Arabidopsis thaliana: one gene and its partner. The protein of the gene in region 2 interacts with the protein of the main gene of each other region in a pairwise test. Each region holds a gene or a part of one and is shown on either strand. Other genes may lie near its edges.

The links. The genes of interacting proteins can lie anywhere in the genome.
Region 1: the proteins of BLH7 (region 2) and NAC066 interact in a two-hybrid assay, tested with the Arabidopsis thaliana proteins (one large-scale study listed by BioGRID).

The regions. Positions count from the first base shown.
Region 1 is NC_003074.8:22,928,809-22,932,566, forward strand, and holds NAC066 (NAC domain protein 66), read right to left. Parts: upstream 1,649-3,758; 5' UTR 1,600-1,648; coding exon 1,428-1,599; intron 1,218-1,427; coding exon 385-1,217; 3' UTR 198-384; downstream 1-197. UniProt on the Arabidopsis thaliana protein: Transcription activator of genes involved in biosynthesis of secondary walls. Together with NST1, required for the secondary cell wall thickening of the anther endocethium, which is necessary for anther dehiscence.
Region 2 is NC_003071.7:7,102,260-7,106,017, forward strand, and holds the start of BLH7 (BEL1-like homeodomain 7), read right to left. Parts: upstream 1,670-3,758; 5' UTR 1,156-1,669; intron 982-1,155; 5' UTR 942-981; coding exon 390-941; intron 305-389; coding exon 1-304. Other genes in the region: AT2G16405 (Transducin/WD40 repeat-like superfamily protein), read right to left, coding at 3,656-3,758.

The DNA of each region.
Region 1 (3,758 bases), on a different chromosome or scaffold from region 2:
TTCATATAATTGTAATTAGAAAACACCCGGCGATGCATGTGACAGACTATGATTTCTTACAGTAGAAAATGTAATTGCCTTTTTGTTCATCGAATGGCAATTAAGTTTCAAAAAGACAAAAACTAATATTCTTGATCCAAAGAAATTCAACTATGCAACCAATTCTTTTCTATAAAGTTAATCATGATATAAAATGTACACAGATATAGAGAACTTTTATTTTCTGTAATGATATCACATAACTACGTACTGTAATTATCACAATCTGACCATTTATACCGTAAAAGTTTCAACAACTATATATATGGTATGATGATTATTATATCTTTCTACACAATGTTTTGGTATGTCACTCACTTAGTCACTTCCTCTCTTCCATTTCCGTTATCCACTACCGTTCAACAAGTGGCATGTCGTTCTCGCGAAATCTGCCTCGTTCCATAAATCAATCTCCGGTATATAGTAATCTGGTGTTAAACCGGTATTACAACCGGACCGGTTCAGTCCATGATACGGTGATTGTGAAGTCTCATTAACGGCTGGTATTGAATACGAGTTGGGCCCATTTAACTGTGAGGCAACGAGCCGATCCAAAGCGGCCCAGCTAGTGATGAAGCTGGGATCCATAACTTTGCTGACGTGGCAGTTGTTGACTTGGTCGTCGATTAACCACTGATAACTCGTGATGGTGGTGTTGTTATGGCATTCGAGGTTAGGGAGTTTTAAGAAAGGGTCTAAAACTATCTCTCCTTTACAAGATTGCCCCATAACTTCGAGAAGTTGCTCGATAGTCTCCTCATTGAACGACGGCGTTTTCACCGAACTCGCCGGGCTACTACTAATCATGTTTTTGCAAAGGTTATTTTTCTTGAAAACACGACACACCACCCATCCTTCGTCACTTCCTATGACATCACACGTTTCTACGTTGACGTCATGATCGCCACACGAGGAGATTAATACACTCTCGTCGAGTCTATATTCGTGCATGATCCAATCGGATTTCTGACCATGAGGGGCTCGACCTTTGTAGAAGACAAGCGTCTTTCGCATCCCGATTCTATCACCATTGGTATATATGGTCTTGTCACGTCCCGTCGCTTTCCAAAATCCGACCGTGGTGGCTCTGTTGGTTCTAGTCCCGGTGGGATACTTCTTGTCCTTATGGCTATAAAAGTACCAATCGTTTTGCGGCGTCGTTCCAATCTTACACATCTCTACATAGAAAAAACAAGAGTTGTGTTAAGTTTTGACTGAATTTTGTTACTGCAAATTTTATTATCACAAAAAGTATATATTACTCTGCAAAATTTCCTGAATTCAGAGCTTTAGTTCTTGACTCAACACATGCATTAAAAAACTAATTTAATTAATATATACAAGCCCTATTAATACGTTTCATCAAGAATAAAAGATAAATGATGAACCTTGAATATCCCAAGGCTCGAGCTTGTTGAGATCAATGTCAGGAATAACATCGAGATCGATCTTGATGTTAGAGATTTTCTTGCGGAGGTAATACTTCAAGAGCTCTTCCTCGGTTGGGTGAAACCTAAAGCCAGGAGGTACTTGTGACTGTCCGTTTACTGATATGTTCATTGCTAAAGATAGAAAAAGGAGAAGAAAATAGAACGAGTTTATAACTAACCAAAGTATGTCTATATATATGTGTATATTTTTTACATCAACTCTGCAAAAAAATAAATAATAGTACATGCATGAGAAAATGCATGTGTTCTTTTGCTCTCATATTTTTAATTCCTTTGTTAAGTTTTCTTTTTAACAGTGGAGTATTATTTTTCCGAATATTTGATGTTTTCATTATAAGTTCGCATGAGCCGCCACTTACAATTAAACATATGAGCCTCTAAGAGCTTGTTTTAATAATTTGAAAATGTCTGTTTTATACTCATAGTGAATGCACTTCTCGAAAAATTACTCCCTATGAGTTTTTACTTAATTCTTAGTTCATACCAAGTATATCCAGCCAAAACAAAAAAAAAAAAGTATATCGATCAAGCTTCTTCGGCCTTTGGTTTTGCCGACTTTTCGCTCTACTAATTGCCTAGATTAGCATGTTAGTTTTGTTTTGTTTTTGCTTTTATCCAGAAATCTCTCGTAATGGTTGATTCGTCATGAGTTCACCTAGTATTTAAAAATCTATCTATTTTTCTGCATGATTCAGTATCTCTTTAACAAAGAAAAAAAATATGATTCAGTAAATTAGATCCGTTATAAATACAATGTTGCAATATTTCATCTAATAAAAGTTATAGTAATGTCTCTCTTTTTTTTTTATTTTTTTTTGGGTCAAATATACTAATGGTCTCTTTATTAAACATCGAAATTATTTGCTCTTTTTGTCCGGTGAAATTGTTTATGGCAATTTCGGAATAGTGCGTGAGAGAGAGCGGTGGGACCATGCACGTAGCTATTGGGTAAAAATATGGTCCACGCGGGATCCACATATCAACTATAATGTAGGAAGCAAGCCCACATCGCTCCGATGACCCTCGACCTTAAAAATCTCTATGGACAAGACATTCCTCATTTTATTTTTATTTTATATAGAAACGAATAGTGTTAACAAAAAAAGTGAATGAAGGGTGATGGCAACAAAAAATGTATGTGATGTGATGAAGAAAGACTTTATACATTATTGTGTTAAATACGACTTTAAAGCTCGTAGCTTGTTCTTGTTGAAGGTGATGCGAAGATAATGATATACTACATGATAATCCACAACCTCCTTAGAAGATGGAGAGAAAGAAAGAGATTAAGATCTGATTCAAGAAGCGTTTATCAAATATATGTGAAGTTAACATTGCAACGAATGTCTAAGATTCGAATATTGTGCATGTGGTTCACTCGAACTAATCATAAAGTTAACCTATCTGGTATTCAGGAAACGACGGTGGATTCGATTCATCCAAATTAAAATTTTAAATTATTGTATTAATTTAAACTTGAATGACGGCATGAATCTAGATGAACAGTTGTTTACAACTGTAAGCGAGGAGGTATCTACGTATGTTGTAGATTTTGTGGGGGCCTATTTACAAAAGGTTATTTTCTGAATTTCCTTTTTCTTACACATGGTTTTGAGATTATAATAGATTAATACGCAAGGGCCGTTCAAATTTGCCATGTGCTATAGGATAACATTGTTAATAAAAAATTAAATCATGAGATTAAAATTTTGAGTTAATGAATATTCTGAAATGTCTTTTTCATTTTTCTAACATGGTTCTGAGTTTATAGCAGAGTAATATATAATCTGATTAAAACGAACGTTGTTGCGGCACGGAGCTATGATAAATTGATGATAATTAGTGACAAAAAACTAAAATGATATAATTGAAGTATTACAAATCGTAATTTTTCTAGAAGATGAAGGAAGTTTGCATGGGAAGCAATCTTAATTTGAGGTGTTTCAAAATTTATTAAACCCTTAATGGTGAGACGTCATATAACTATATATATTAGCACTCGTGCTTGTCGGACTTATAACTTTAGCCTAATCTTAAACTGTTTCTGGCCAGCTTTGTGTCATTGGGCCTGAAATAAAAGAGTTTCTCCCTTTTGTTTTGCTCTTCTAGACTTTTGGCATTGAATAGGGAAGATTAAATAATCTCTAACTACGAGTCTACGACTTCATAAATTAATTGTTTCATGAGAGATAACAATGATATTTCAAATATATCTACGTTGATAAACTTATATAATCGTTCCAAGTCTTCAATGAATACGGAAATCAA
Region 2 (3,758 bases):
AAGTGTGAGGTTGCATCACACCTAACCGCTGCAACGCTCTTTGTTGCCTTACCTGTTGATCAACATTCCTTAACCTGCTTATCCCCACTCCTCTCCCATCTGATCCATCCTGTTCCCCTCCTAAACTTTTCCTTATCACCAAGATTTGTCCGGATATCGCATCCCTTAAGCAACGGAAATGCCTCGAGATGGTCTGAAGCGCAAGGGCTGTGTATGGTTTGGCTGCTCCACATCCGGCTATTACATCGAAAGACGACACGACTATCTGCATCTGATGGTAATACTGCTTGTAATTTCTATCCACCTTCAAACAACAAAGAAACAAACAACATTTATGTTACCACGAGAATCATTAACAAGTGTAGAAGATATGTTGTAAGGCGGATTACCTCGTCTAATATCGATAAAAGTTTCGACAACTTGCTCTGCAATTCTTGCCTCTCTGCTTGAGGGATTTCAGCAGTATTCGTCTGAAGATTCTTCTCTTTCACTTCATTAATCTTATCTCCCTCTGGCTGAAACTGCTTTAGAGCTTTCTTAACATTAACAGTTTCATCAAGAAGCTCTTGAGCAGCTTTGAGATACTTTGAGTTGTGAATGGTTCGAGTAAATCCCGAAACAACCTGTGTTGCATACTCATTGTTATTATTGCCTCTCGATGTCTCAATCTGCGAGCTGAGGCCAAGACGCCTCATCACCGGGAAGCGATTCCTGTCATTGTCTTCTTGATCTCTCCAAGAACCAGAATCTTGAATCTCAACCATTTGTGAAACTCCACCAAGGCTTGACAACACTTGAATCTCTTTTGAAGGTGACACATTATTAGTTGAATCTCTAGGAAATGTCTCTGTGAAAGAATTTGTGTAGTTCATTGCGTTTCCAGGGACAAATTCTGGTCTGGAATAAATCTCACTTGAGCCAGTTTTGTAATAAGTGGCCATAGTCTTCTTCTTCTTATGATCAGATCAAACAAGGAGTCATCTGTTTCAGAATCAAACACAAACAACACTAAACCCTTTTTATACTTCACATTATGTAATAAAATCTTAATTAAGCAAATTTTAAGAAATTGAACCAATGAAAATTATGAGAATTATCTCTCTGCATGAATTTAAGAATTTAAAAAGAAGAAGAAAGGATAGATTAAAGAATTACCAGGAAAGCATCTGCTGGCTTTGTGGGTGTTAAAGGAGACACTAAATCTCAAATTGAAGAAGGAAAAAAGAAATGTTTTTTTTTTTTTGTTTTAACTCTTGATGATCCCAAGAACACAAACTTAACAACAAACTCTTTATCTCCTCAAATCAAAATCTTGATAATACAAAATGTTTTACCCACACAAAAGATTCAAGAAAACAAAAGATCCATCCTCCTTAAAGCAAGTTTCCTTTTTGAAGTAGAGATTTCATTAAAAGCTGGTTCTTGAACTTGCTTCTTGATTCTTCTTCTTGTTTCTTGGAGTCAAGTCTTTTGGTGAAGATAACAAAAACAGATCAAAATGTTTTCAAGAGTAAAAATGTGGTAAGGAGATTATGTTCTTAACAAACCAGTTGGTAGAGATCTAAACCCTTTTCTAAAACCTAATCCTAAACCCTAATGCCTCTCTCTTTCGTCTCTCTGGCCTTTCTGTTTGTTTGCTGCAATAAAATTGAATGAAGCTATAACCACCATACAATCATTTTCTGTGTTTTTTATATTCTTATCTAAAAATATTTGATATATTCCTGATTGGTGTCAATAGTAAAAGATATTTTCGTAATTCTTCTATAATAATGTGTTTATCAAGCATATTTGGAGAATAAGACAAATATATAATGAACGTTTTTCATATCTAATTTTGGTGCTATGCAATTTTTTAAATATTTCATGTCCGATTTGTAATCAAAGATAATATTAATTTTTGTGTAGACTAGTCCATCTTTATTAGAGTGGGGAATAATTTGGGTAACGACGTGTCAAAGTTTACACACGGATGTTTTTTTTCAACTTCTTTTCAATAAAATAATTTCACTTTTTTGGTAAGCTTTTTACAGTTTCTTCTTCTTTGTCTTTAAATTTCACTTTCAAGTTTCAACATTTGATTTTTTTTTGTTCTTTCGAATAATATCTGTGATGGTCCACATGCTATTTACTATATAGTTGCATTTGCATACAACTATTTTTGCAAGGAATAAACAAAAAAAAAACACTTCATATTCTTATCTCTTTCTCATAAATAATGAATAAGTGGCCTTTTTCCCCACTTAGCTTTGTCTTTTTGTGCCCACAGATTTTAGGTATTTCTACAAATTTTCTAACTTTTACTTTCTTTTCACTAAGTGTAGGTCCATATCTTGTCATGGAGGACTTTACGATTACGAATCAGAAACAAATTGAGAAAATCCCAACTCCAAGACATTTTATAATAAGTCTGATTTGTAGTATAAGGTGGTACGAAATGGTGGTAAGAGGTAAGTCAAATTAAAATGTGTGGTGAGATATCTTAGTGTGATAGAAAATGGTGGTACCACCTTTTCTTACCAACACACTGAAAGGTTATAGTTTTTGCATGGAGAGACCAAAATAGACTTTTTGTGAATTAAGTGATTTAGTTATTTTCTATGAAAAAAAAAATTACGAAATACACAAGAGTTAATTTTGTGGGAAAACATAGGTAAGCATTTTATTTAAATTTACACTTCAAAATATGAGAATAAAAACTTGAAAAGAAAATAAAAATAGTAAATTGGGGTGGATAAGTGAAGAACGTGAAATGATGGGTAGCGAAGAGAAAGAAGTCTGAATTGGGACAGAGATGGCAGAAGGAGAAAGAGAGAGAGAGACCTGGACAATGGACAGATAGAGTCAGTGGATAGGGAAGAGTGTCTTCATAATATACGACGACCAACCAACCCTTCTTCTTATTATTATTAATCCAATATGAACATGACGCCGAAGATATTTGCTTGGGAAATAAGAGAATTGTAAATGTTAAGTTTTTATTAGTGCCCTACTTACGTTGAAGTTGAGATTCTATTGCTTTTAGTAAAAGAATTAATACACAAAACACTCGGATTCTTTTTGCTGGTTGAAATACGTTTAATTATTAGCATGATTATCTAGTCCAACCACTTCCACACTAATATAAGCACCAAATGCTCATCAGTTACATAATTTGAATTCAATATAATCCTAGAGCCACATTTCTCTAAGAGAACCAAGTATCATATTCCATTTGGTCCCCTGAAGAATTAGATGAACCAGCTTGCCGGAACTTGTTGAACCTGGGTCTCTTGGGTGAGAGCTGAGTATCTTGACCAACTAGACTACAATGGAATGTTGTTTATGTAATCTTCATTAATTTTACTGATAATTAATCTGGTTCATGATAATGTGACAAAACAAAAAACATTGCGAGTACAATTAACTTGATCTCTTCAAATTGTCTACCAACTTATCTATGGAAAGAGTTATTAACTCATTAAGGACGTGTCTGTTCCAACCATTTAAGCTATTGAATCTGTGCATAGGAGTGTCACAGAACTATATCTTTATAAGAGATGGGAAACTAAATTGACACAGTTTTGAGATTAGCGATACAGAGATGATGCCAAACCCAAAGCCTTTGTGGCAAAAATGACGGATTTAGATTCATTTATAATATTATAGACAAACCTTATGAGCTTGTCTTTGCTCTTTTCCATACAATGACAACACCATAGAAATCAGACGAAGCCAACAAGTTCTCCCCATGGTTCCACGCAACACACATTACTGGA